3 linked regions of the Diceros bicornis minor genome follow. The protein of the gene in region 1 interacts with the protein of each later gene in a pairwise test. Links are inferred from orthologs where the notes say so. Each region holds a gene or a part of one and is shown on either strand. Other genes may lie near its edges.

The links.
Region 2: the proteins of SEPTIN1 (region 1) and AURKB interact in binary tests that used the Homo sapiens proteins (3 or more experiments, as listed by UniProt). The link is inferred for Diceros bicornis minor from reciprocal best matches to the Homo sapiens genes SEPTIN1 and AURKB.
Region 3: the proteins of SEPTIN1 (region 1) and AMOT interact in binary tests that used the Homo sapiens proteins (3 or more experiments, as listed by UniProt). The two-hybrid records come from large-scale screens. The link is inferred for Diceros bicornis minor from reciprocal best matches to the Homo sapiens genes SEPTIN1 and AMOT.

Annotation. Positions count from the first base shown.
Region 1 is NC_080765.1:21,502,103-21,511,773, reverse strand, and holds the start of SEPTIN1 (septin-1), read right to left. Parts: upstream 4,598-9,671; coding exon 4,525-4,597; intron 4,471-4,524; exon of another isoform or gene 4,395-4,470; coding exon 4,185-4,394; exon of another isoform or gene 4,087-4,184; coding exon 3,811-4,086; intron 1-3,810. Other genes in the region: ZNF48 (zinc finger protein 48), read left to right, coding at 4,653-4,731, 5,894-7,695. UniProt on the Homo sapiens protein: Filament-forming cytoskeletal GTPase. May play a role in cytokinesis.
Region 2 is NC_080757.1:10,204,003-10,214,291, forward strand, and holds the start of AURKB (aurora kinase B), read left to right. Parts: upstream 1-6,246; 5' UTR 6,247-6,262; coding exon of another isoform or gene 6,263-6,310; intron 6,311-6,933; 5' UTR 6,934-7,235; coding exon 7,236-7,248; intron 7,249-7,695; exon of another isoform or gene 7,696-7,757; coding exon 7,758-7,860; intron 7,861-7,969; coding exon 7,970-8,074; intron 8,075-8,251; coding exon 8,252-8,443; intron 8,444-8,717; coding exon 8,718-8,856; coding exon of another isoform or gene 8,857-8,866; intron 8,867-8,966; coding exon 8,967-9,115; intron 9,116-9,694; coding exon 9,695-9,869; intron 9,870-10,022; coding exon 10,023-10,196; 3' UTR 10,197-10,289. UniProt on the Homo sapiens protein: Serine/threonine-protein kinase component of the chromosomal passenger complex (CPC), a complex that acts as a key regulator of mitosis.
Region 3 is NC_080781.1:104,578,324-104,588,480, reverse strand, and holds the start of AMOT (angiomotin), read left to right. Parts: upstream 1-6,114; 5' UTR 6,115-6,504; intron 6,505-10,157.

The sequences.
Region 1 (9,671 bases):
TTTAAAAGATGTAGTATACAGTACATGTTTACACAAATCATTTTATATATGTATGAATACATATTTCTGCTTGTTAACTTTTTCATTCAGCACTATTTTTTAAGATCCATCCTTGTTGCCATGTGTATATCTTATCCTTACTTCAACCTCATTTCTATACCGTTCTCTTCATGTAACCTTGGGAAAGTCACATCTCCGGGCTTTACTTTCCTCATCTATCAAATGGGATTGGAAGCTCCTGCCACATTGAACTCACAGGGGCTGTGTAAGGTTCATATGATTATAGGGACATATAGTGATTAAGAGCTATGTGATCTTACTAGCTGTGTCACCCTGAACATCTTAGTTTAAACTCTCTGTGACTTTATCTGTTTCTTTATCTGTGAAATGGCACCATTAATAATTCTACCTCATAGGGTGATGATGAGGATTATATGGTCTAATACACATAAAGCTCTTAGTACCATGCCTGGCCTTTGAGATGAGCTCACACAGAATGCAAGTTATTGCTATTACATGAGCTGAGGGGTGTGACAGTGCCGCCAGCTCAAATCTAGGGACTGCTCTTCTGGATTAGTTGCTAAGGATCCAGACAGAGTGAATCAGTCAGGGCTCGGCCCTCTGGGGAGACAGAGACAGCCACAAGTAAGTGTGACACACAGCATTGGTGCTAAAAATGTAGCGTAATGGGGATAAACAAAGGACTTGGAGAAGCCAAGGGAAGGGATAATTACACCCCCCACCCCCACAGCAACCCTTCTTCCTGCATTTCTCATCAGGCTGAACAGCCCTATGGTCTTAGTTAAAACTTGGAACTCCTGGGGCCGGCCAGGTGACATAGTGGTTAAGTTCACGCGCTCTGCTTCAGCTGCCCGGGGTTTTCAGGTTCAGATTCCAGGCATGGACCTACCACCGCTCATCAGGCTATGCTGTGGTGCCACCTCATATACAAAATAGAGGAAGATGGGCACAGATGTTAGTGCAGGGCTAATCTTCCTCAACAAAAAGAGGAACATTGGCAATGGATGTTAACTCAGGGCCGATCTTCCTCACCAAAAAAAAAAAAAACTTCAGAACTCCTCCCTCTCTCACTCTTCACAAGTATATCCAATTGGTTTCCAAGTCCTTCCTATCGATCAGAAAAATTGGTCCCCTTCTCTCTGCCCCCCACCCCCTGCCCTTTCCTGGGTTCAGACTCTGATCAGCTTCTCCCTGAGTTATTCAACAGCTTTAAGAAAATAACATGTTTATTCACTTATTTATTGTATAATCAACACATATTCTCATAGAAAAATTAGAAAACACAAGTGGATTAGAAAAATTTACATCTAATATCACTACCATGATAGAACCCCAATTTGATTTTTATCCTTCTAGATTTTCTCCCATGCCTATACATATAAATATATATTTACAAAACTAGGATCATCCAATAACTTTGGAAATCTTTTTTCACTTCATGTGTTCTCTAGATCTTTCTATTATAATAAATACACATCTACATTATCATTTTTATAGATGCTTAGTATTTAGCTTGTTTCCTAGTCCTCCCTGTGATAAACAAGGCTGAGCTGGGATGAACATGTTTGTGGTACTATCACTGTGCGCTTGTCCAACCATTTCCTTGGGCCCAATTTCTATAAGGAGAATTACTGAGTCAAAGGAAGTCACATATTTAAGGCACTTGTGCATATTAACAAATCATCCTGTAGAAAAGGCTCTTGGCTGGTCTTCGTGCTAAGTGTAGAGATGACACGAATTAATAGTGACACAATATTCCATTTACATGCTTACTAACTCCAACAAATTATGCCCCATCATTCATATGATAAGGTTTGCGGCCTGTCTGCTTGAAGAAAGGAAGGGCCCCCCTTGAGCTTCCTATGGGGCAGTGTATGGTGGACAGCAGTTTTCCCATTTAACAGTCATCTGGATTAGTTCTTTTTCACCTTGCCCTCATGTCTTCATAACTACCTATGCCCCCATCAGACATCCCTGGAGGGGCTTCTGTATCTTTAGATCTGAGTTCAGATTCAGACCTAATAACTCCAGGCTTCGTCTTCTCAAAGTCAGAGCCAGCTCTGCAAGTGAGTATGGTGTGTGAGCTGGCCAGCCTTTGGGGGAGGCTCCTCCAAGGGCAGCTGGCTCTTTGCCGTTTGGTACCCTCTTACCTCTGTTTCCCAGCACAAGTGCCTAGCACATGGTGGATCCCCAGGAAATGTTTGTGGAACAAATGAATAAACTTACCATTCTATCTCTAGCTTCCACTGCTTTCCTATCATGTAAACTCATGACACATTAAAACATAACTATGCCTTAGTTTCCTGAAGATAGGTCTTAATCATCTTTGGATCTCAAACTTCTGGCATATAATAGGTTTTCAATTAGTGTATGGTCTGCTGTTCATTTCATTCCCTCTGCCTGGAGGTCTTCACTCAGCCCTCACTTCAGCCAGGCTCTAGACTTTGCTGAAATCTTAGCTGTCTTGAAAGGGTCAGCTCAAAAATGCCACCGTCTTCCTTGGTTACTCCAGCCAAAAGAGTAATAGCTGATATTTTTTGCTAAGTGCTTTACATATATCAATTCTCAACCATTCAAGTTAGATACTATCATCCCCATTTTACAGTTCAGGAAACAAAAGTAACTTCTCCAAGGTCAAACAGTAGTAAATGACAAGGCCGAGAATCTAACTCTGCATTAATGACCTTAAAGAAAGTGTCCACAGCCACTAAACTCTACAGAAGGTATCTTTCTCTGCACTACACTCCTTGCATATCTTGGTCATAAGGTTAGTACAGAATATGTCACATCATCTGCACATCTCCATATTCTACTGGACCGAGAGCTCTCTGAGGAGTTTCTTTGTATTTCCAGGGCCTAGACGGTGTCTAGATATTGGTTGGTGATCAATTAAATATGTATTGATTGATATTATGGTCCCTGTTTCTATCAGTGTCTAACATCCATACATACCAGGCACACAGAGCCATGCAGGCTCATTCCCACAGATTAGAACCTTTCCTCCTCTCCCACACCATCTTGAACAGATCCATGTAACTCTCATGTCCTCACAGTCCTCTATTTTTCAGGAATTGTGTGCTTGCCCCTTTAAACTGGTAGCACTCTAAGAACAAATCTTACATGTGTTTGATCTCTTTATGCCAAACTGTTGGCTTAGCACTGAGGTGCTAATAAATGTGAATTAATATATAAACCTCTGCTACCCCTCTCCATCATTAGACCGGCTGCAGGCATTTCCAGGCACTCCCCTCTCCCCAAAGGCAACTTGGGATCATGCTTGTGATCAACTTGTGATCTGCTGGAACACAGCCCCAGCCAGGGCCCCACCAAGCTGGAAAAGAGGGTTTAATGTTTCAGCCTCTCCCTGGGCTTGGCCTTTGTAGGGCTGTGGATCTGTCCCTAGCCTCCCCATGGCCTTTTTCTTTGTGTTTCTGTCTCTTTGTCTCTGCTTATTTCACTCTTTGTTCCTCTGCCTCTGAGCCTATTTCTCCCCCGGCTCCCTGCCTTTTCTTATAGCTCCTCTGACTCTGCTTCGATGACTTTATATTTCTACATCTCTGTCTCTGGCGGCCAATCTTTTTCTCCTGTATTTTCAGTCTGCCGCTGTCTCTCGGTTTCTCTCTGCCTTTGTGTCCTCTCTGACTAAGGGCTCCTAGGTTATGACTTTATGTCTGTGAGTCTCTATTCTGGGCCCCAGGTCTGATTCTATCCGCCGGCCTCTTCCCAGCATTTATCTGGCGCCAGCCACTAGCCTCTCCTCCTGCCTCGGTCTCCCCGAGCCCAGCCCACCCCCGGCCCCACCCCCAACCCTCGGCCTCTCGGACCGGCCCCGCTTTGTTTCCAGCGTCTCGGCGCCCCGCCCCCGCCCCGTCTGGGGTCTCCGCCGCCCTCTGCCGCCCTTTGTCTGCCTTGATCTTTCCCCCACCCCTTTCTCTGGGTCCGTCTTTGGATCTCTTTGTCTCTCCAGGCTGGGGTGGCTGGCGCTGTCGGCCAGCCGGGGAGGTCGGCGCAGGTAGCCCCACAGGGCGACCATTAGGCAGCGTCTTCGGCCCTCATCACCCAGCTCTAGCCCAGGAGGCACACGGTTAATACCACCGAGTTCGGGCAACTGTTCCTCGGCTTAGAGTAGCCCTCTCCGCGGCACGCGGCCGCCCGCCAGCCACCGAGCTCGGGAGGACGGGAGCGGCCCCCACAGGCGTGCGGCTCCTCCGAGGTCCTAGAGCGGCTCGGTGCGGCCCAGCGCTTCCGCTTCCCGTCCCCGCCCCCGGCGGCCGCCCCCGGGACGCCTGGGTCCGAGACCCCTCCCGATTTGGCGCGGATCCCGCGTCCCGGAGCCGCCAGCGGCTCGGGCACCGGAGCCCAGCCGAGGAGCTCTGGAGGGCACCGGCGTGGCGGAGCCGGTGGTGGCCGGGAGGTGAAGGGGCGGCTGCGTGCCGGAAGGAGCAGCAGGTGCAGTGGCGGACGGCGGCGCAGGCGGGGGTCACCAGGCGCCGCGCCCCGCACCTCGGACCCGGACGCTGCCCGGTGTCCGCGCCGGTCGGCAGAGGGCAGCGGCAGGGCGCCGCGGGCCGCACATGCCTGTGTGACCGTGGGATTGTGTCTGTCTCCTTGCTCAGGGCGGCGTGCTGGCGATGGAGCGCGCGGTGGAGCCCTGGGGCCCGGATCTCCATGGCCGGGAGGAGAGGGAGCAGCTGAGAGGCGCCCGCACAGGTGAGGGCGCGGCGGTTCGCCGCCGTGGGCAGGTAATGGCTGGGTGGGGACCCCGGTGTTGGTTTTACCTGGCCGAGACCCAGAAAAATCGGATATGAACTGTGCTTCCAGAGAGAGAGGGGGAGGGGAGCAAAGGCCAAGGGAAAGAGCCAGTGTTTCTGAGAACCTACTGTGCGCCAGGCCTTAATGGGCGTCATCTCAAGGATTCTCCCCTTCCCGGACAGTCATCACCATTCGCACTGCCTCTGCCCTACTTCAAGCCTCATTCTGTCTCATCCTGGCAATTGCAGCAGCCTCCCCTCAGCCCTTTTCTTTCCAGTGATACACTCTACAGCCACACTGATCTAAGTCCAATCTAATCCTGTCTCCCTTCTCAAAAACCTTCCCTACCTCCCTTCTGCCCACTAATTAAAAGCCTTACCCTAGTGTTCAATCCAGTCCTTACATGCTTAATCTAGTCCCAACATCCCTTTCCAGCTTAATCTTCCATTCCTCTCCATGGTTTACTCTTTTCTCTGCTGTGAAAGCCCAGCCTTGTCTCCTTATTTCCTCTCTCATGACAGCACAGTTATTCTGAGCCAACAGTTATAATTACTTATGCTTTATTTTATCTCTCCTACCAACCCCAAGCATCTTGAGGGACAGGTGTGTGCTGGGTCCTCTCAGATACACACAAGATGATTGAAGTAACAAATTACAGAATGGGCTAATATGAAAAGATAAAATATAAATAGCAAATACTAGTTTTTCCAAATAGAGACAATATAATGTAGTGGTTAACACAGGCTTGGGAATCAGACCTGAGTTAGAAACCTGGCTTTGCTACTTTCTAGCCTTTATAACCTTGAGCAAGTAACTTAAATTCTCTGAGTCTTCATGTCTGTAAAATGGGGATAGTAATAGTATTACCTCGTAAGATTGTTTGCAAGCATCCAGTAATGCTTAGTTCAGTGATTGGCACATATTAAGGGCACAGAATAAGGAAGTTCTATTATTAATAAGAGGCACAAACAATAATAAGTGCTTCAGAAGTTCGGAGGTGAGAGAGTGAGAGAGAGCTTTGTGACCTCAGATTGTCAAGGAAGCCTTCCTGGGAAGGTTGCTATGGAAGATAGGGGCTGAGCTAAAGGGCAGGGTCTACGACTTCCTTTTCTTTCCCCAGGTCTAGGGAGTGAGAATGTGGAGCTTTCTCACCCGGATGAGTTTGAACATACCCCACAGGAGGATGACTTGGGGTTCAAGGAAGAGGAAGATTTGGCCCCAGGTCATGAAGTAGGAAATGCCTCTCTCAAACCGGAAGGCATCCAGACCTGGGATGACTTGTGGGTCCAGAGAGAGGGGCCAGGAAAACCTCAGGCTCGGGACAGAGGCCCCCGGCTGCTGGGAGAACCACGCTGGGGCCAGGCTAATGATCGGGCTGCTGTGTGTGGCGAGTGTGGCAAGAGCTTTCGGCAGATGTCAGATCTAGTGAAACACCAGCGGACCCACACAGGGGAGAAACCCTACAAGTGCGGGGTCTGCGGCAAGGGCTTTGGGGATAGCTCTGCCCGTATCAAACACCAGCGAACTCATAGTGGTGAAAAACCCTACAGAGCCCGACCACCAGCCCAGGGCCCCCCAAAGATTCCTCGATCCAGGATCCCTGCTGGTGAGCGCCCCACTATCTGTGGTGAATGTGGCAAGAGCTTCCGGCAGAGTTCTGACCTGGTGAAACACCAGCGGACACACACCGGCGAGAAGCCCTACAAGTGTGGCATATGTGGCAAGGGTTTTGGCGACAGTTCTGCCCGCATAAAGCACCAGCGGACACACCGGGGGGAGCAGCCACCCCGGCCTGTGATGCCCCGACGGCAGCCATCTCGAGCAGCCACGGCAGCTGCACAGGGACCTAAGGGCCAGGACAAGCCATATATCTGCACCGATTGTGGCAAAAGGTTTGTGCTCAGCTGCAGCCTTTTGAGCCACCAGCGCAGTCACCTGGGGCCCAAACCTTTTGGCTGTGATGTGTGTGGAAAGGAGTTTGCCCGGGGCTCAGACCTGGTGAAGCACCTGCGGGTGCACACAGGAGAGAAGCCCTACCTGTGCCCTGAGTGTGGCAAGGGCTTCGCTGACAGCTCTGCCCGGGTCAAGCACCTCCGCACCCACAGTGGCGAAAGGCCTCATGCCTGCCCGGAATGTGACCGCACCTTCAGTCTCAGCTCCACCCTTCTCCGCCACCGCCTCACTCACATGGAGCCCCAGGACTTCAGCTTCCCAGGCTACCCTCTGGCCCCCCTGATCCCCAGCCCACCCCCCAGCTCAAGCCCACCCCCACCTCCTCTTGGCACCAGCCCCCCGCTGACACCTCGAAGCCCTTCACACTCGGGTGATGGGCCTTTTGGCCTGCCTGGTTTGGAGCCAGAGCCTGGGGGCCCACAGGCTGGGGAGCCGCCCCCACCACTGGAGGGTGACAAGCCCCACAAGTGCCCTGAGTGTGGCAAGGGCTTTCGCCGAAGCTCAGACCTGGTGAAACACCATCGTGTGCACACAGGGGAAAAACCCTACCTCTGCCCTGAATGCGGCAAGGGTTTTGCCGACAGCTCAGCCCGCGTCAAGCACCTCCGCACCCACCGTGGTGAACGGGCTCGGCCACCACCACCATCCACTCTCCTGAGGCTGCATAACCCCCCTGGCACCGCACCCACAGCCCCCCGACCCCGGGTCCGGGCCCAGCCCTCTGTACCCAGCCAGCCCCATGTATGTGGCTTCTGTGGGAAGGAGTTCCCCCGGAGCTCAGATCTTGTCAAACATAGGCGCACACACACTGGGGAAAAGCCATACAAGTGTGCAGAGTGTGGCAAGGGTTTTGGTGACAGTTCTGCCCGAATCAAGCACCAGCGTGGGCACCTGGTCCTGAGGCCCTTTGGGACAGGGGATGGTCGGGCAAGGCCGCTCAAGGAGGAGCCACTAACAGGACTGGAATGATGGGGTCTAGGGAGGGTGGAGGCCCAAGAGACCAAAGGGAGGGTATCTGCTGCTTAAGCAGAGAAGAATGGGCCTGGGAGGTAGTGGGGGGGAGAAGGAGGGGAAGAAACGGGAAAAAGGAGTGAATAGATAGAAATAGAGATTGGAGACAATGACCTTGAAGCTCAGGAAACTGTCCTGGCTGGGCTCAGGCAGGACCTTGCCAGTGTGGTCTATACCCCCAGCTTCTAGAACATTGCCTAGTACACAGTAGGCACTCAGATACATTGAATGAATCCACTGGTCTTAGCCTGAGGGCCTTTAACCCTAAATTACTGCTGCCTCTTAACCAGTTAAGAATTGATCCCTCCCAACCTTGCCCCTGGGAGACCGGCACCTGGAACCAGGGTTTGTTTGACCTTATGAGCTGCAACAATGAGACTTCTGGAGTTTAGGGTGACAGAATGAGGCAGGGGCATCTTGATCATCCTTCTGATAGGGAGAATATTACTGTGTGGCAGGCAGTACCCAGCCTCAGGACACTGGACATGGTCTTAGCCAGAAAGGGTGCTCTTGGACAGAGCCCAGACCTATCTGCCCTGGAGAACCCCAAACCACCTTGACACCTGGACATGGCAGCATAGACCAGGATGGCAGAAGGAGCACTCATCTGCTCCGAATGCCAAGCCCAGGTCCTTCTGGTGGATATCAGCAGAAACAAACTGGCTGGGAAAAGCGGAGGACTGGAGTGAGGAGAGGCCAGAGAAGATCCAAGGCCCAAAAGCCACATCTCCATGTGTCTCCTCACCAATAAACTGCTTCTTGTCTGAGGCTTGGACTCTATTTGTGTGTGAGTGCATGGTGAAAGGTGAAAAAGGTGAATGGTCAACACAAGTGAAACCCATAAGCCATGTGTAAACTTGTGTGGGTCCCTTACCCTCTTTGCGCCCGTCAAATACAGAAGTTCGCTTGGCATAGTCAGCCACTTTCTAGCTCTGACATCGGCTTAAAAAACGGCCACCAAGTCTGTCAACTGATGCCCCTGACCTGAGTTCTGGCTGCTCACAGGCGCCACCTATGCCACAGCAATGAGTGCGACCCTTAAAAGGGAAAACACGCGACGCCACGGGGTGGGAGGGGTGCTCAGTGAGCGCTGTTGCTATGGCGACAGGTACCGGGAGAAATGTGGCCGGCCGGTCTGGTACAGGCGGCCGGTCTGGCACAGGCGCAGAAGGCCCGGACACTGAAGCTCTGCGTACTGGGAAACGCCACCTCCCCGAGACTCTTTATTTGTCGAGAAACAGGTCATTTGGCTGCACAGCCCAAAGGGAGGGCAAAGGGGATGCCTCTTCGTCCCCTGGAAAGGGTAACCGTATTTCCCAGCGACCCGTGCGTCATTAGCAGGAAGACTCCCAATCCTAGCCTTTTCCGAGGTGGGCGCCAATAGGGGGGAAGGGGAAAGAGGAACTGACCTGATTGGCCAGGGACAAAAAAGACTAGGGCGTTCACCCCTCTAAGAAAATAAGTACAGGATCGCTTGGCAACTTCTCGGTCGGGGTGTCTCAGCTAATCTGCGTACAGGAATGGTCCCTGGATAGAAGCTCTCGCGAGATCTTAACCATCGGACGCTTCCCTAGAAACCAATGAAAACCTGCTGCCGTGCGGTTCCTCCTGGTGGTCCCACCCCTGCCAAATTATACACACTAGAAATCCAGAATTTTTCGTTCAGGCCTGGGGTTCTTGGCGGCTTCGGTCCTTAAGTGCACACACACCCCTAGGCCTGAATGGAGGCCTTTTGAGCCTTTGGAAGATCCTCTCTGCTGGTTTCCGTGTCTCCCTTCCCTACCAGGTCAGTCTCCAAGCCGTTCTGCAGTGAACTTTGTAAAATTACATCTGACCATGTCACTCTCCTATTAAAAACCCTGCCGTATCTCGGCATATCTTCTCTGTAAAATGCAACTCCTTAGTTGGCATTCAACGCCTTCCACTTGTGAGGT
Region 2 (10,289 bases), on another chromosome or scaffold:
AGAAAAATAGACAAGTTAAATAAAGTTATATGGATATATAAATGACCAATTATAAATCTTACACATGAGTGACAGAAATAATAAAATAAGTCTATTTTATTCTAAACTGGGCACAGTCTGAGAGAAATTTAGCTTTTTCAAAAATAGAGCTCAAGAATTCCCCAAAACACATAACAGAGAGACAAGAGATTTAAAAAACATGAAAAAACAAGCTAAAAGATGTGGAGGATAGAATTAGAAGCTCTGATGTAACTCTAAGAGGAGTTTCAGAGAAAAGATGATAGAGGAAAATGGTAGAGAAACAGTATGCATAGACTTAATTCTTAAAATTTTATACTGGAGCTTCACCTGTATGTCTTTTATTTCATAAAAAAAATCAGAAGCAAATATGGCAAATCATGTTAAGATTTGAATAATTGAGTAGTAATTACACAAGTGCTTTTAAAGAGTATTCTTGATATTTGAGATATTTCATAATTTTTTGTGGTACAATACACTTATCATAAAATTTACCATTTTAACCATTTTAAAGTGTACAATTCAGGGGTTTTTAGTATATTCACACAGTTGTGCATCAATCACCACTATTTAATTCCAGAACATTTTCACCACTCCATAAAGAAGCAGTTGCTCCCCACTCTCCCCAGTCCTTGGAAACCAGTACATAATCTTTCTCTATGGATTTGCTTATCCTGGATATTTCATATAAATGGAATCATATATGTGACCTTTTGTATCTGGCTTCTTTTAGGTGGCACTGTGTTTTCAAGGTTCATCTATGTTGGTTGTAGCATGATCAGTACTTCATTCCTTTTTATAGCTGAATAATATTCCATTGTATGGATTTACCTCATTTTGTTTATTTATTCATCAGTTGATGGACACCACCCATTTCTGTCTGTTCCCCTTCCCTATACAAGAGAATCTATATGGCAATAAAAATGAGGTATATTTGACTGTGTTAATGTGGGAAAATGTCCAAGGTAAATTGACAGATTAAAAATGGGATAACAATGGGTGTATTATTCCATTTGCACAATTTTTTTATTGAGGTATAATTGACATATAACATTATATTAGTTTCAAGTGTACAATATAATGATTCGATATTTGTACATATGGCTGCACAATTTTTAAAGGACAGACATAGACTAATATCCATAGGAAAGTTCTGGAAGGGTATATGAGAAAATGTTAGCAGGAGTTACCTCTGATTAACTCCTCTGGTTGGGACTGAGGACTTTCAATTTCCTCTTTACAATCACTCTGCATTTTTTGTTCGTTTGTTTGTTTGCATGAATCATTTTGATAACAAAATAACCATACATACACATACACACACAGAGAAGGATTCTGAAATGACACACAAGAATCTGATGACAGTGTTTGCTTCCGGGGATGGGAGTGGAGGACGAGGCAATTAGAGTTGGTAGAGAGACTTACTTTGAACTAACCTGTGTAAATTTTATCATGTTCATGTATATTTAAAAATCAATACATCAACAACATGGGTAAATCTCACAAACATAATGTTGAATGAGAGAAGTCAGACAGAAGAATACATACTGTATGAAGGTCTTTTGTATAAAGGTCAAAACAGGCAAAGCTAGTATATGGGTTAGAAGTCAGGATAGTGGTTACTCTTGGGAAAGATAGTGACTGGTAAAGGAGGATGAGGGGGCTCCTGAAGTGCCGGAAACATTCTGCTTCTTGATCTGGGTGTTGGTTACACAGGGTTGTTCGGTTTAGGAAAATTCATCCAGCTATACATTTTCTGTATGTATACTTCAATAAAAAGTTTTAAAAAATGCCTCAAAGGCATAGGGTACAGGCTTGTTGTCTGGTCACCTGGCAAGGGGCACTGGCCTTGCTGATCCAATCTCTGAGGACACATAAATGGACCTGGGCAGGGCCTCAGGCTTCAGCCATTGTGGCAGGGACGCATTTGGTCCAGGCTTGTGGTTTGTACCAACGACCAACACTTGGGACCTAATAGCCAGGAGCAAACCCCAGCAATGATGTTTGACCTGGGGAGGCTCAGGGAAGTCTGGATGGAGGGCACCCTACTTAATTCAGCAGCATTGCCTCAGGTTTACCTTAATGAGGACAACTTAGTGGGAAGACGTGGAGGTATTAGCCAGGCTTCCCCAGCAAGCCCCTTCCAGACCCTTCTGAGTCTACTCCTCATCCCTGGAAGGGGCTTATTGGCTGATGATGAAAATTCATGTCTTGAAATTTCTTCTTGAGTTGTCCCATTGTCAGAAATAAAAGAGGCTGACATCTGTGCCTCACAAACATTATAGTATCCCAGCCATCCTGCCTGACCTTCGGAACACGAAACATTCTGACCTTTCCCAGTCACAGGAAAATTCAGCCCTGGCAGGAGAACAGTGACAATCCCCCCTCACTGATACCTCTCATTGTTACTTGGCCAGTAGCCAGAATCCACATCTAACATGAACTGGGAAGCAAAAAGCAAAGCAAGAGGAAAAAACAAAAGAATTACACTCAGAGGAAATTGCTAATTTACATCATTATAAACCCGGGGAATATCCGCAGGAGAGTGGGTTTTGAGTGTGCCTGACCAAGGAGAGCAAAGCATAATTTGGGGCAGGGCCGCATTTATTGCTATGGATGTAGACTGGTAGTATTCAAAGTGTGGTCCACAGACTGGTGCCGCTTCATGGACTGTCTCTTTCAAGTCCAAGATGAGTTTAGAATTTGAGAGTAAGCATTTAAAAACTCCTCCAGCATTTGTCAGAGTACTTTTATATACGTTGATTATACCAAAAAATGTGGGATTGTAATTTTTATATTTTTTAGATTTCGTTTTTCAAGGAATTCATTTTTAGTGTATTTTATAACATTATTGATCTGTGATAGATTGAAAATAATCAAGACTGGTCCTTCCCCACGGATTGTTTGAGAAGCACTGGGGTAAATAACAGAGGTTTTGTTCACTGACTTGAACAGGCAGCTGATAGTTGCCTAGCTGATAGAACAGATAGTTTTTGTTTGGTTTGGTTTTTTATGAGTAATGCAAATCCTGATTTTATGCTGGCCCATCAAATATTCCTGAAAGGCCAAATATCTTCTAACATAATGTGCAAGCAAGAATTTAAAGACTCCAGGGGACACAGATACTGTATTGGATCAATCAGGTATATCCCACCCATGTACTATTTCACCTTATAGGTTCCAGAAAAGTCTCCCTTCACTAGGGCTTGAGGAATAAAGTATACTGCAAGGGATAGAATTTTTATAAAGCTCTTCATTGGCTAGTCCCTCTATGCCAAGTATGTAGATAAAGGTGCCGCAGTCGAAATGGGCTCCCTGATCTTGGGAAGTGGGGTTAAGCTGACCCTAAGGGAAAACAGTGTACCTCCAGAAGTAAAATGATTTTTCACAAATGGCAGCAGGGTGGCCATGATCATCAAATCTCTGAAGATACCTCATCATGCACAGATATCTGACTTTTTAAATTAATCATGGGGTCCCCAGAATGAAATTATAAGCAATTGCGGCACACTTGTATTCCTACCACCACACTCCCTTGCTGCTTTAACCATAGTGGCTAGAAGAGATACTCACTTTACCAGCCTCACTCACTTTACCAGCCTCCTTTGCAGCAGTCATGTGACACAATTCTGGCCAATGAGAAATCTATTGGGTACTTGTAGAAAGGTTTCTGCTTTTCCTGATAAAAGAGACAGAGACAGTTGGCAGCCATCTTGCACTCATAAGGGAAATGTCAAGAGAATCAGAGAGAGGCCAATCCAGATCTCTAACATTGTTCCCTAACCAACTACCAACTTTCTGATTTCTTGTTATGGAAAAGAAAATAGATCCCTATTGTTTATGCCATTGTTAACTGAGTTTTCTTTTACTTGCAGCCAAAAGCATTATGAACTGATCTGGAAACCCATAAGGACTTATTTGATTTACATTTGGTTGAATCATATGAAATTGGTATCTTTTGTAGGTCAAAATGATTGACTATCAGCAATTTCACATCATTCAACCTAAATAACTAAGAACACTCTAGGTCTGTAGATGTGTGTCAGTTAGTATTGTGAAAATTAATAAAGGGAAACCTCATTTAAAATGGAGTCTGGAAGCCAGAAGGGGGAGTTCTCATGCAGTACCATTCAAGGTCAAGTACAAGTACAGGCAAGAATCTCAATTACAGACCCCAACAGAAAGAAGTCTAACAGAAAAAATCATCAATCACAGACCTCTACCCAAAGAAATAAACATTTCATCCCAAACGGAAATCGACTACGGAGCAACTCAGCCAATGAGAAACCATCATCACTCTGAACTTTTGTTTTTCTCTAATGGACTTGCATTCAAAACAGCCCCTCCTAATTTCCTCCTTTTTCCTTATAAAATAATGTTCCTCTTCTTTGATTGTTGGCCTTGCCTATGGCTTTTGCTATAGCTTGCTTGTCCCAACTTGCAATACTTTGCTGTTCCTGAAAAAAACCATTTTGCTGGTAAAATAACTGGCTGTTTTATCTTTTAGTTTAGCGGTATGCTTTTGACAGCAAATAACAGAACTCTTAATGCATTAGGGAAGGAAATCTATTAGCTCATGTAAGGAAAGTGCTGAAATAGGCATCCAGAGGCTCCACAATGTCCTCAAAGTCTCGGGTTCTTCCCAGGCCTCTCTTCTCCCCTCTGCAATGTGAGCTTCATTCTCAGGCTGCTCCCTTCAGGAGCACCACCAGCAACAATGAGGGCTGCATGCTTCCTTGCCCACTTCCAGCAGGAGAAAAGGAGTTTCTGCTCAGCATTCTGGACAAGAATCCTAAAATTCCCACTAACTGGCCCACTTAATTCACATGCTTATCCCCGAACCAGTGACCATGATCCTGGCATAAAAGGTGCTGACTGTTGTAAATCAGACAGGGTCCACTCCTGGACCTGGGATGGAGTCAGCTTCCCTCTGAGACCCAAAACTTGAGGTGCTTTCAGGAAGTAGGAATCGCTGGGAGAATGGACGCTGGGTAGGGAACCACAGTGTCCACCACAATAGGTCTCCCATCAAGTTAGGGATTTGGGGCCGGTAGCAACAGAAACCGACAACACAGAACAGGCAGACAGGTGGTTGCCCTAAAGCAAAGTTAGGGTGTTATTATTCAAAGTAATAGGAAGGATACTGGACAGGCAATACTTGCAAATATCCACTAGTTATTTCATAGAACGTCTCAAAATGTATTTATTTAACCCAATAATAAAATTTGGGCTCGGAAAGAGCAGAGAAGAAGGGAGCGTGGCAGGAAGGAGAAAAGTGACAGTCGGTCCAAACACTGCGGCCTTGGTCAGGGGACCTGCAGAGAAAGGACCGCTGACGGAAAATTCCTACTAGGAAAGTGAGTGAAAGACTTTACAGAACAAAATATTAATGACACAAGAATAAACATACCTTCAAACAAACAATGTAACAGAATACAGAGTCCAGAAATAGATCCAACTATCTACGACGACAATATATCAAGGGTAGCATTTAAATTCCGCTGGGAATGATGTCGTTTGTTTAACAAATGGTGCTGGCATAACTGGCTCTCCATCTGGCAGAAAACAAAGTTAGACCCTAGATCATACATACACAAGGATAGATTCCAGATATATTAAAATTCAAAAAATTTTTTGAAAGATATGAGAATATTTGATCGTGGGATAAGGGAAACTTTTCTAATCCGGAACATGAGCTGGCTGCGGCTCGCATTTCGTCTCTTCCATTGGGGCCCCGCGGGCTACGTCATGGGACATCCAGCCAATGAGGATTGGACATGGGCGGCCCGCTCAGCCAATGGGACCAGGGCGGGAGATTTGAAAGGAACTCGGCAGGGGCGCGGCTGGGCAGGGCGAGTCGTTTGCCAGCGGCCAGGAGAGTGGCTGTGCCACGGGCTCCAGGTGAGCTGCCCTCCTTTCGCAGGCCTTGCGCCGGGAGAGGGCAGGTGATCAGGCAGGTCGGGGGTCCGTTGGGCGGGCCCGCGCACTCCGCCGGCTGCTGGGCGCTCAAGGGTGGAGAGAGGGTCCTGGAAGGGGCTGGGCCGGTAGCAGGGCGGGGGCGGCCAGGCGAGCGCCCGGGTGCGCCCTGATGTGGCCAGCGTGTAGACTTGCTCCCTTTCACCAGCCCCAGGCAAGCGCTTCCGACTAGATGGGTCCGACCCCTCCCTCTCTCGCTCCCTTTTTTCTGCTTCTCACGGTTCTGTTCCTTTCTCTGCCCAGCTCTCCTCCCCGCTTCCCTCTAAGGATGGCCCAGAAGGAGAACGCCTACCCCTGGCCCTACGGCAGGCAGACGGTAAGGGCATGCCCACTTCCGCTCCCCCCAAACCGGCATGGCGAGTTCCTACTTCCAGATTCGAGGTCCTGCAGAGGGCGATCCTCCAAGCACTTTCTTCTCGGTTATGCTCCAACGTATGGGCCCCAAAAGTTTGCTGGCCGAACCCAGTCTGGGCAATTGCAGCCACATCCTGTCAGGTGCTGCCAACTCGAATCTGACCAGCCTGTGAGGACCCCTGCAGGGCTGAGCCTACTTGTCATATACAAATGATATCTGGGAGAGAGCAGGCAGGGTCTGGCCTTCAGGCCATGATTCCCAACCTTTGTCCTGAAAAAAATAGGCTAGGCAGGACATAGAAATAGACTCGTGAAGGATTGAGATAAACTTATAAGTTTAACAGGTTCAAGACAAGTCTAAATAATTTGGAATTTATTTTAATGACTGGTGTGAGTTAAGGATCTAAATTGATTTCTTTTCCAGTTGTCCCAACACCTTTCATTGAAGAGTCTACCCTCTGATTTGAAATGCTACCTTTTTTATATATATTAGATTCCCACATATATGTGGGTCTGTTTCTGGACTCTATTTTGTTCAACTTGCTTATTTGTAAATTCTGTTCTAATACCACTCTTTGGGAACAGGTTTGAAGGGGCACTGAGGCTTTCTTCCCCTCTTGGCTAAAGAAGAAAGAAGGGGCCCTGCACAGGCTTTGCTCCCTGTTGGTGGGGCTTAGATCTCCCGTAGCATCCGTCTGTCGCTGTGTCCACCAGTTCCCTCCCTTGTGGAGCACTGAGTGAGGCTATCAAGAGTGGAGGCTGAATGAGAAACCATTGTCACTTCTACCTCGGTCACTCCCAAAAGGAAGTTATGTATATTACTCAGAAGTTGAATGTGAGAAGTGGTCCAAGGCCATCACAGTAGCCTTCAGCGTCCCTAAAGCCTGATGTTGCAAAGGGGTACATACTGATATTTGCTGCAACATTCAAGGCCTCAAGGACCCTGTGTAAGCCTTAATAGACTGAGCTTTTTAGGGGCTATGAGAATGCCTCTGTGCTTTAGCACCTTGAATTGTGGGTGTTCATTACCCCAGCCCTCTGCAGCCCCCAGGGGTGGGGGCTGGGTAAATGAGTGGTGTTGCAGACAGGACTACAGAGGTTGGACAGCTTCATGCCTGAGAATGTGGTGTGGGCCAGGGCCAAAGAGGTGAAATGTTCAGTGTTGCGTTAAGTCCTTTGCTCTTTATCTTGGGCCAACTTATGTTGTTTATTAAGAACCCATTTTAATATGGGGCTCTGAGCAGAGTCTTGGGGCTGAGTAGCAAAATTGTTGTCTCAGTGTTCCTCTTTGAGGTGGGGATGGGTGGGTGGGTGGCTCTATAGAAAGCACTGAAATGCTGCTTGCAGCACATTCCAACCCGGCCGCTGAGACAAAGACACCCTCAGAGCTCCCTCCTGCTCCTTCTCAGGCTCAGTCTGGCCTGAACACCCTGCCCCAGAGAGTCCTCCGGAAGGAGCCTGTCACCCCATCTGCACTTGTCCTCATGAGCCGCTCCAATGCCCAGCCCACAGGTAACTGCAACAGCGGGGAGGGGATTGACTTGAGAGGACTAGAGTCTACGGGGAGGGTGCAGGGATGAAAATGTCAAGGGAGGGCCTCAACTTAACTGTTCTTTCCAAGCTGCCCTTGGCCAGAAGGTGGTGGAGAACAGCAGTGGGACGCCCAACTTGTTAATGTAAGTGCCCAAGCCTTGGGGCGGCAAGAGAAGAGGGAGACAGTGAACAGGTAGGAGATGAGGGAGGGAGAAGCTAAGGGCAGGAGGTGTGGGGGCGGGGGCAAGAAAGCCTGATCCATTCTCAACTTCCTTCAAAGAGAAATGGAGCTGAAGGGCAGGGGGAAAGCAAACACCTCAGGCAACCCACAAACCAGTGCTCAGCTGCCTTCCCCCCACTCTCTAATCAGGCGGTCCTTCACGATTGATGACTTTGAGATTGGGCGTCCTCTGGGCAAAGGCAAGTTTGGAAATGTGTACTTGGCTCGGGAGAAGAAGAGCCATTTCATCGTGGCACTCAAGGTCCTCTTCAAGTCTCAGATAGAGAAGGAGGGCGTGGAACACCAGCTGCGCAGGGAGATCGAAATCCAGGCCCATCTGCAGTACGGGCCAACGCCCTCTGAGCCCAAGCCCCCTGCTCCCTCCCCCCAGCTCTTTCAACCCCACCACATCTAGAGTTTTCCCTATAGCTGTGGCCATTTAGCACCATTGAGCTCTCAATCCAGAGAGCTGTCTCCACGTCCCCCTTGCCAGGGCCAGCCCTCGTGTCCCCGGCCTGGCCCACGTCTGACCCCAGTTTGCCCCATATGAGACCTGTCATCTTTCCCATTTCCTTATGCCAGGATGCAGCCTCAGCCCTCCTGTCTCTTCTCCCAGGCATCCCAACATCTTGCGTCTCTACAATTATTTCTACGACCGGCGAAGGATCTACTTGATTCTGGAGTATGCCCCCCGGGGGGAGCTCTACAAGGAGCTGCAGAAGAGCCGCACTTTTGACGAGCAGCGAACAGCCACGGTCGGGGCGGGTGGGCACCTGGAGCGCCGGCAGGGGGCCTGAGGCTAGGGGTACGCTGCTTGCAGCTAGAGGTCCATCCTTGTCTAATCGCCTGTCATTGGCCCTCCCAGATCATGGAGGAGCTGGCAGATGCTCTGATCTACTGCCACGGGAAGAAGGTGATTCACAGGGACATAAAGCCAGAGAATCTGCTCTTGGGGCTCCAGGGAGAGCTGAAGATTGCGGACTTTGGCTGGTCGGTGCACGCGCCCTCCCTGAGGTACGGTGGGACAGGAGGCCAGCCATGGGTATGAGGCTGGGACATTCAAAATAAAACCACTCCACATGTTGTTACCCAGAGACATTTGGGTCTGGCCTCATGTAAACATAGACACAGCAATATCTTTACAAAATAAGAGACCCAGTTTTGTTGCCCAGATTTCTTAATCAATATATTTGGGACCCCCTTGCCATATCACTGAGAACACTCGCACATCATCTTTAATGGCTTCATAGTATTGCATAGTAGAGATGTGACCTGATTTATTTAAGCAGGGCATGCTTGATGGACATCCGAGATGTCCCCAATTTTTCCTTTAGTTCTAAGGTGAACAGTGCCCTCGTATCTGATTATTTGGAGAGCCATTTTTCAGTGTGGAAACGCTGAGGCAGCGTGTAAGCCCTCCTCTGGGGCTTTGGTTTATAGCCTCACCCCACTCCTACCTGAAAGGCCTTGTCAGAGCCTGGCTGTAACACTCCCCTGCTGCATCCTGGGGTCTCTTGGCTCCCTGTCGGGCAGCAGGGAAAGGAGAGGCCATCTACCTCTGGGGTCCCTGCCTACTCACCCCACCCCACCCAGGAGGAAGACTATGTGTGGCACCCTGGACTACCTGCCCCCAGAGATGATTGAGGGGCGCACACACAATGAAAAGGTGGATCTGTGGTGCATTGGAGTCCTCTGCTACGAGCTGCTGGTGGGAAACCCGCCCTTTGAGAGTGCTTCACACAACGAGACGTATCGGCGCATCGTCAAGGTGCGAGGGCTGGCCTGGGTGCCTGGCTGGGGCTTTGCGCTGGCTGCAGAGGCCGGGGGCTACGTAACTCTGCAAATGGCATGGGCAGTCAAGGAAAAAGCAACCACGATGCATGTAATGGGGCCCTTCCTTCTCCTCTCTCTACTTCTGTAGGTGGACCTGAAGTTCCCCGCTTCTGTGCCCGCAGGAGCCCAGGACCTCATCTCCAAGCTGCTCAAGCACAGCCCCTCAGAACGGCTGCCCCTGGCCCAGGTCTCAGCCCACCCTTGGGTCCGGGCCCACTCCCGGAGGGTGCTGCCTCCCTCTGCCCCTCAGTCTGTCCCCTGAACTGTCCCTGTCATTTACTCGTTTGTGTCTGTGTTTGTGTGTCTGTATGTGTAATTGGAAGCAGGGGTCCGTGGCCTGTTCCCTTATCTGTCT
Region 3 (10,157 bases), on another chromosome or scaffold:
CCTGAAGAGAAGGCTGATTAGGGATTGCAAGGTGGGCCTGCCTTAAATCACACCGAAATGGCATTGACCTACCTTCTTCCTGTAGTTCCTGAAGCAGGGCAGCATGCCAGAGAAGATAAATCTCTGCTCCAGTCACAACCTTCTTCTCCTCCAACTGGGATAACAACTCTCAGACACTCTGGCAACTACAGAAACAGAGAGAGCCCCGAATCAATCAAGAGTTTATTTGCAACGAGTAATGTCAGAGGATGAACTTCCTTTAAATCCTGTTAACTTTGTACATTTAAAGGACTACTGGCTCAGGAATTTGAGTTCCCCCTGACTTGCTTTCAGTGATTTGTTTTTTATCATTGACTAAATCATATTCTCCTTCTCATCGCACCACCTTTTACAGTGTAGACTTTGATGTGTGTTCCTCAGTCTCCCTACCTCCCTCTTGCTCCAACTAACCTAAGACTTTGCAAACAAACCCTATTGAGAAGTATGGACAGTCTGGCCCTTTCCAGAAACTCAAGCTGTTGAAGGAGATATGGTATTTAGTTAAGCTGAAGTGAAGCCCTGCATAAATCATAAAGAGGCGAACCCAGGTTACTCAAACAGGACCCTAGGAGGTACTTGGGGAATAGACTTGCAGGCAGCTTTATTTTTCTACAGCCGATTTACTTCCAAAATGCTGGGGCCCACAAGTACCCCAGGAGTAACTTGGCTCCCAAATGCTGGAGCAGGTCTTGGCCTTGGAGCACAGTTCTGGTGTTGTTTCCTGAATTCCCACATTGCTGTTTTCCACACATGGATCAGGCTTCAAACTTCCTGTGTCTGGACCGTGTGTGTGCGTGTGCACGCATGTGTGTGTGTTTATATGCTTGGGAAGGGTGGAAAGGGGGGAGGTGGGGGATCCAAAAGGAAGAGTATTTAACTCAATGCTTGTACTGCATATGTGTCCCTTTGTTCCTTTCCTGTTCAGATAAAGCTGATATTCTCTGATCAGCTGGCTTCTGCATGTGCAGGTCTAGCATCCTTGTGAATAAATAGGAAACTGACTTAGGAGGTGTCCTGGAGAAGTCTGCTTTTCAGTGTCTGCCTGATACATTTGCAGGGTGTTTTTTTTTGGGAGGGAGGGGAGAGTTATGTGGAGCCATAAATACTTAGGATTTATGTTCCCTTGTGTACGTGCTTGCCTCTGCTTTTGTTTCTAAATGCATTAAAATGATTTAGTTGTTCACCAGGCAATTAGAGGAAGATGTGCTCATTTCATACTCCCAGTTGACTTGGTGGGTGGGGGAGAATGTCATTCAATACAGACCACTATGATTTTGTGGTCTTTCCTTCTAGAAGAACCTAGCCAGGGATTAAGGAACAGACTATAAGCCGTGTTCTATTTCCTACTTTTCCTGTATATTGGGCAAAAATCTTGCACGCAAAGGGAAGACTTTTTTTTTTTAATTAAAACACTTATTAGTTATCTAAATTATTAACCAGGAGATTTTACATTAATACATTTGACTTGTGGTTTCTCCTGAAAAGTCAGAAGTCCTGGCCACATTGGGCCTGCATTTCTCATGGTGTTGACTGAGCTGCCCCCTTTATGAGAGTCCTGCCTTCTTCTTAGTAGCCTCCATCACTGTCTGGTCTCCTGACGCTGAGCCTGAGAGTTGTTACCTTTAAACATTTTTTTATTGTGGTAAAATACACATAACAAAATTCACTATTTTAACCATTTTAACCGTACAATTCAGTGGCATTAAGTACATTCAAAATGTTGTACAACCATCACCACTATCTATTTCCAGAACTTTTTTATCATCTGAAACAGAAAGTGTGCTCATTAAACAAATTCCCCACTCCTCCCTCCCCTTAGGCCCTGATAATCACTATGCTACTTTCTGTCTCTATGAATTTGCCTATTCTAGGTATTTCATATAAGTGGAATTATACAATATTTGTCCATTTGTGGACAAATGGCTTCTTTCAGTTAGCATAATGTTTTTAAGGGAGACATTGATTTTTTTGATTGACTTTTTTGTTGTTGTTTTTAGAGCACAGACATTGATTTTTATTGTATGTTAAAGGAAGAATTGCACTTTATTGAAAAAAAGCCAAACAGGACAGATAGTTTAGGATGGAGACTCTTGACTTCTAACCTTAAAATGATCATTATATCCATTATCAATATATGGAGGTTCTTTTTTGTTTTTTTTGTGAGGAAGATCAGCCCTGAACTAACATCCACGCTAATCCTCCTCTTTTTTTGCTGAGGAAGACCAGCCCTGAGCTAATGTCTATTGCCAATCCTCCTCCTTTTTTTCCCTTTTTCTCCCCAAGGCCCCAGTAGGTAGTTGTATGTCATAGTTGCACATCCTTCTAGTTGCTGTATGTGGGACGTGGCCTCAGCATGGCCGGAGAAGCGGTGCGCCGCTGCGCACCCAGGATCCGAACCCGGGCCGCCAGTAGAGGAGCGCGGGCACTCAACTGCTAAACCATGAGGCCGGCCCCCTGGGGAGGTTCTTAATGCACTTAGGCAACCCAGTGTCTTTACACAGGTGTTTTACAGCTAGTGGTTAATTCTCCTGGTATACCCCAGAGGCTTCTCCATATTTTACAGTCAGGATATGAAGACACAGGGATGCTGTGGGGATTAGTTAAATGTGTGTGGCATACTTTGCTGTATAAACTCACTCTCTGGAACTAGTTTTCACTCCCTGCTCTCAACTTCCACGGCTTTTACTGTCAATCCCATTCATTTAGCACTTAGCATGCGCTTGTTAGTTGTCTTTTTCTGTATATGCCCTTGAAGGCAGGAGTCAAGTCTCATCCCTCTTTGTTTTTACAGTCCCGTCCATAATAGCAGCTCTATCAATGTTTGTTGATGTTGGCCTCCCCCTCCCCCTTCCTTTGAAGCAGAGTTGGCAAAGCATAGCTTTAAATTCAAACTCAGTTTAAACAAACTGCAGGGTTTTCAGGGTAAAAACAAAAGGAAGTCTTGCGTGGCAGGAGAGAAGGAACACCTAAGACGCTTAGAAGACCTGGGCAAAGCTGAGGTACCAAAAAACCTGTTGTTTGCCACAGGCTAAGTGACCCACATGCAGCCTGGTCCACCATTAAATTCAGAGCTGTGGTCGCTCTACTCTATCAAAATTCAAATTTGGAGAACAGTAGTGACCAAGGCAGGATTTGAGGAGGGGGTATTAAAGGAATTAGTGTTTTAGGGGTTTCCACTGTATGAAGGCCCTAGTAGCTGTGGGGAAGGCAGGTTGGAAAAGTCTTTTGAAGGCAACTGCAAGGCTGGGGGCAAGCATTCTACAAACACAGCCGCTGGGCCTTTGCTACTAGGATTTGTTTCCCAGCATCTTCTGTAATGGCAAAAGATGGGAAATGGCCTAAATCACCTTTCACTAAGAGAATGAGTAAAAGAATTTTGGCACATCTAAGCAATGGAACACTGAGCTATCATGAAATAGAATGAGGTAAAGGAAGTTATCCTGAGATGGAAGGATATTTAAGAGACATGGTTGAGTAAAGAAAAGCAAGGTGTGCTGTGATTGATGATCCCACTTGTAAGGGGCAAAAATGGAATATATACATGTATGCAAATAATATATTTTGAAGATTGCGTACAGGCATAGAGAGAAAGGGAGAAAGGGACTACGAGAACGGAGTGATGGAGAGGAACTCTTCACTGTGCTCCTTTCAGTACTGTTTTAATTTTATCCTGTGCACATTTTACTTTCTCCATTTTAACAGCATTGTTAATTTTAACAAGTATCATGTTGCCATTGTGATCAGTAGTAGTCTGCAGCCTATACCCATCCTATCTAGCTCTGCTGTCCACCCCTCCAAATAACAAGGCTGGAATAATCTTCCCTTGCTTCACAAACCAAGTGTCTCCGTGTCTTTAACACTCAAAAATCTCACCTTCCCCATGAAAAATCACCCAAATAACTTCACCTCACACATAAGCTGAATCATTCCGAGAATCCATTTTGCCCACGCTCCTGCTTCTGAATCTTTCAGCCGCCCCAGCAGAGCACTCTGCACATTGGGGCTACCCCCCAACACGCCAGTGGCCCACTACTTTTCCTGCACCTGGTTATATTCCGAGACCCTGTTCATGCTGAGATAGTGTTTCTTTTGAGCACACTTCCTCTTGCATGCCTTGATCCATGGACCCTCAGAAGGCTCCTGTTAAGCAGGCTTGAATTGAATGTCACTTTTTCATTGGCCTGAGTTCATTATAATAGCTCTGCCTTGTCAAGGCCTTTACATTTACACTTGCTTCCTCCTTGTAACGTTTTCTAGGAAATATGGATCTGTAGAGAATGGTGGTTTCCATGGTAAATGTTCCCTCATATTTGTTTTCTCAAGTTCACTTCGGAGACACAGCACGATTTCCTCTTTCAGTACCAGCACCACAATAGATTTAGGTTGTGGCGCCACTGCAGAACTGTTTAAAAAAGAAATCTCACCCACCCTGGTTAGAAAAGGGGTAATTTATTCTTCTAACTGCAGGCAGCCAACTTCATATCCACCCCCAAAACTGTAGGAAAAGAGTTGACTTATTAAAGCCACAAAACCTATACACCTTGGATGTAAATGCTTAAAACAGATAAGGAGAATATTTGATTCTCAAACACATGAGACTCTCCACCATGTGACATACACAAGTAGGAACACATACATGTGTGGAGTGCTTTGTGGTTCACAGAGTGTTCACACACAATTCATTTTATTTTCATATACCAGTGTCATTAAGTTAATAGGGCATGCTTATAGCCTTTATTTACAGATAGGAAAACTAAGGCTCAGAGAAGTTAAGCGACTCAACAGAAGTCTCACAACTAGCTGATAAGTGCTCCAGTCTGAAATGAGTTCTTCCTTTAGCTCCAAATTTCATGTTACTCTGCTACCCCTACACTGTTTCTCTGTGCTTTCGTTTCCCAGATGTAAAATGGTAGATTTTCAGTGTCCCAGGATGCTGTTCTCAACCCTCTGTGTTCTTAAGCAGTATCAATTTTTCGCAGCCAGGAAATGTGAACACCACATTGATACTTTACGTACTTCTTCCCCCTCCTGGCCTAATGAATTAAGGGGGGGAAGAAAAGTTACCTATTCTCAGAGGGCCGGATAGTGCCATAAGGGTGTACGGGAGCCAGCCGACACACTGTCGCACTCTTAGGAGACTAAAAAACCGAGCGTCTCATCTTTCTCTTCTCGGCAGTACCTTGGGGGAGAATGGAGAGCTAGACAATAGCCTCTTGTTTAGTTTTATTAATTTTGAGGGCGGGTGGAACAAAAGGAGCCGAACGACGACGCACGTGACCAATCGCAAGCGATTCCTAGACCAGGATTCGCCAACTGGTAGCTGCCAAAGAAAGATGGGTGGGATTTACTCTTCTAGGCCCGCTCCGCCCAGGCCGGCCCCCCCCAGCCCGCCCAAGAGGCGGAGGCTCCGCAGAGCCCCGCCCACGCCACCTCCGCCGCCAGCGCGGCCCGCCACAGGGAGGGGGGTGGGGACGCGGGGGGAGGGGGGAGGAAGAGGGAGGCTAGGGGGAACCGAGGAAGAAAGGAGGGTGTCTCGCAGAGCTATGACCTGGGTGGGGGCCTGCTGGTAATAGGAAGCAAGAGGGGAAGGAAAACCAAGGAGCGCTGCTCCTTCCTGCATTATTTTAAGCAGGCTTTGCTAGAAGCTGCTTTTCAGCATTTCTATTATTTGTTTTTCTTCCTCCCGCTGTGGGGCGGGGAGCTGCATTGGCTCTCCCTCCGCTCTGCTGTTGCCATAGATTATTATTTGTAGTCTTTGCAAAACCCTTCCCTTCCTCCTAGCCAGTCCCTGCGTAGACTCTCATTGCTACTTTAACCGAGTCGTGCCACGTTAGTAATAGGACCAGAGCGAGGTCCCCCCGTTTTCGTCCGAGCGACCGCACTCCGCCGCTCAATTGTTTGAAACTTCCACGCCCCCTGGCCCCGCCTCTCTTCCATCCCCCCTCTTACCCAGGGCCCAGGCAGGCTCCTTCCCTTCTTTCCCCGCCCTCAGCTCCGCCTCCCTCCCTAGTCCACCCCCTCTCCCCGCTCCTGGGCGGTCCTAGCCGCTCACCGCAAGAAGAAAAGCCACCCATTCGTCCCCCTCCCCTACCTCCCATCCTTTGCCCAGGAGCTGCCTTCATCGCAGTCACGCCCCTTCCTTCCGAGGAGCTTTCTGGCTGCCCAAGCTGGAGACCCCCTGATTTATTCCTCCATCTCTGCTCTCTTTCGCCTCATCTTCTCTTAGTTCTCACCTCCCCCTCCACCCCCACCTCCAGTCTGTCTCGCCTCCGACCATCCGCTGCTCCACCCTCCGGCCCGGTATCCTGCCTGTCCGCTGCCACCAAGAAGAGCCCGGACGGAGCAGTGAGGAGGGGAGCAGCCGGGAGTTGGGGCTTCTCCCCTGCCCATCCCTGGCCTCCGGCCCGGGCCCGAAGCCGCTTGAGCGAGCGGAGAGTCGTCACCTTGTCTTCGTTGCCTTCAGGGGTAGGAGACGCGTGGTTACTTTTCGCGGGGAACTGGGGCAGGAATCCATGGTGGCGTGAACTTGATCATGCCCTCGGCGTGAGTGAGTCGATCTAGATGCGTGTGGGGATGTCCCTGTGTTGTACTTTCTTTGCAGCTGGTCTTGAGTTTTCTGGGATGTGCAGCAAGTTAAATTGGTTAAAGAGTGTGTACTCCTTTTCTGTCCTACGGAGATGCTAGTGGGTACCACTACTTGATGGTACGTTTACATCTTCCCTCCTGGAGTCCTTGTAGATCTCTAGGTAATTAAGCACAAAAGGAATTAAAGACCCGAGGGAACTTGAGGTCTACATTTAGCTCAGCAGGAATGTCCTTGCTTATCTCCAATTGCTAGATGCGTTCCTCCTAAATGCTTAGGATTGGGGTGGGGGCTCACACTCCCCTCCCCCGGGGCCCGTGAATTCTTGAAGTCTTAAAGTCTGAGAGTAATCTACAGCGTTACACTCTTTTTGGTGGTGTGTTTGTGTGTGTGTGTGTGTGTGTGTGTGGTGATGTGGAGGCATTTGTCCCTTTTCTGGTTTATAGATGTTAATAACTAGTTTTGCGGGATCATGCACACGTCTGGAGGGTCCCAAGCCTGGGTCACTGTATGTAGGTGCTTCAGCAGCAAGATAACTTGTCAATATATGAAAATGAAGAGAAGGCAAAGTGAGAGAGGGAAAGTGACAGTCTTTGTAGACTGTGAGCAGTCCCTGGTAAATTGACATTAATAATAATATAATAATAATTTGCAGCAAGGGACTAAATACAATTAAATGAGAGAGGAAAGGGAAAGTTTGTGAGAAACAGCATTTCCAATCTTTAGCATGTATTTTAGAATTTTCTGACACCTTGAAGTGTTCAACTTAGTTCTCCCCCTCCCCCCATGAAGAGTAGAAGTTGGGAGGCAGTTGAAAACTTTTTTTTAATGTAACTCTCTTCTCTCATTCAGAGAGGAATTAGTCACCATAATCTTCAATAATGGAGGGCTAAGGGTATTTAAGTCTCCTTGAACTAGGCTTTGTGAAAAGTCCTTTCTTTGGCCAGCTTTTGTGAAGCCTTCTTGGTTAGACCTTTCAGCACCCTCATTTAGTAGCTAAGAATAGTTTGAAACACTATTTTGGACTCGGGATAAATCTTCACTCATCTCCCACCTATCTCCAATTGGGCAAGCATGGCAAACTTATAAGAACAGTGGTGTTCAAAGACCTGTTACCAAGATGTCCCCCATCCATTGCTTATTTGGAAACAAATTATTTACTTATATTTTTAAATAAGTTTGTTGATTGATTTTAATGGGGGAAAGGAAAGCAGAAAGGGAGAAAAGGAACGTTACAGGGTGACAATTTTAAAGGCTATCGTGTTTCAGATCAGCTGGGAGGGAAAAGTTGTCCTGACCAAACTACATTTTATAACTGGCCTGGGACATTTTAATAGCCAGGTGGTTGTAGAGTAGTTGCATCTATTTACAGATGATAACTCAGGTTCCAGCTATTCTGTATGGATTTATCTGGTGTCATTTACCAACACTTTCTGGCACTACATCATACTTAATTTTAAGATACTTCTTTCTTGGGAAAAGTCTATGGCTCCTTAAAATTGAAAGTGCTTTTTCTAACTTCATAGTCTCGATATGAAGTAAAGCTCTGACCATGCTCGTGTGTAGAGTAACTTGTACGTGAAAGTTGTGGATCTGTTTACTTATTTAAAATATTTTAGAAGGGAATTTTAAAATTCATATTCAATACTGTTTTGGATTTGGAAATTGAAATCTCATTGCTGGTTTATGAAGTAGGAGTTATTAGACTAGTGCATAACCAAGGCATTTTGTGGAGTTGCTTTTTCTGAAGTTTTATAAAGAACGGATCAGACTCTTTCTAGAATGCCTTAAGAACAGTCTATTCAGAAAGCAGAGGGATGGATGCTATGACCTTGAGGTCCCATTGAGTGCCAGAATTCTAAGTGGGTACATCTGCTTCTATGCCTCTCCTAAGAGCCCTCTCCCAGGGCCTGCGCCTTCTTTAAAAGGGTGTCTTTGTAATTAAGCAGCCCTTCTCCCCCATCCCCCTTTCTTCCTTTGATCCAGCTTTTTAAGGCCTTTTTTACATTTGGAGACAAGAGGAGTTTCTCACACTCTCCTACTCCCCTCTTAAGGTTTCTTTTCCTTTCCCCCTCAAAAAAGTCCCCTGAAGTTCTCAGGATGGTTAGAACTTGTTCTGTTTTGTTGGGGAGGGGGTGTTACCAACAAGGAGGAGTAGAGGATATAGTCCCTCTTGGGAAATGCTTGTGACCAGGTAGCCTCCTCCATGGAGACTGAGCATTTGGAATGCATGAGAACAGTCTATTCTTGGGGACTGTCTGGAAGAAATTGTCCTTTGCACCCATTAAGCCCAGCTTAAACACACTGAAAGGGGTGGAGAGAGGTGTGTGTGGTCGTGGCTGAGCCTTTTAGGATAGTAAATGGGTAAATGTTCCCAAATCTTCTATTACATCACCTCTTTCCCCCATGGATTCAGTGGGTTTGGAGATCTGCTTGACAAGTTAATTAGCTTGGGCCTAAACCAATTTGTTTAGAATTGTGCTCCATTGATTTCCTGTCCCCAGGAATTTTTGTTGGTGGTTTACTATGATGTCTTGTCTTTAGTCTTCCTTACTTCTTCATTTCTTGCTGCCTTTTGTGGACTTTGGCCCAAAATCTAGGGTCCCACCCCCAAGTCAAAGGTTAGAATTTGGTCCCAGGAACGGAGGGGGCATTAAACAGGCTGCCCATACTGCATTACTTTCCTCTATGGTGGGCTTCTGACCCCTTTTAATCCAGAGAAAGGAGCGAAGTCGCCCCTTCCACACATACACACAAAATTTGAACTAAAAAAAAAAGGAAAATAGGAGGTCATTTGCTTTATAAAAGAATCTACTACAGGTTTCTTTGAAAGAACTAGCTCTCCTAGTTAGTGCCTTTGAACGGTAACTTGATATATAAAAATTCACTCTAACTAGGCCTTCTTAGAAACATATTTATTTCATAAAAGAAGACATTAGAATTTTGAAGTAATGATTATTGCTTGAAATCAGTGAGGACATTATTTGGTCTTTGAAATCTTGTTATATGGGATGAAGTTAATTGTCTAAATCATTCTGGTTTGTAATAATGCTGGCCACGTTTAACCCCAGCCTACAACCACTTGTAGAAGGAAGCTAATATGACTTTCTGGAAATAAATCAGATTTCACAGATTTTTATCAGTCTAAGGATGGGACTCTGCCCCATATAGGTAAAAGATTTTAATTCTGGTTATTATATTTGAATAACTCAAGGATTCAGAAAATTGTTTCTGGCAAATGACAGGAACTGATGTCTTTTTTAATCAAAGAATCTATGATATGCTTTCCTAGTGAGCCTATTGGTGAGATGGTCCTGGGTTCTAGACCCACCTCTAACTCAGTTTACCACCCTTGGCAAGTTTCCTCCTCTGTAAATTCTGGGGGGTCAGACCGTAAATTTGAGAACCTGTTCTCAAAAGTTTTATGGTGCTCTTCCTAGGCCTCAATTTCTGGTGTGAATGTGAATGATTCCTACTAGAATAAGGTGCAACAATTGTCAGAAATACAATCATGTAGTCATCTGAATGGAAAAAA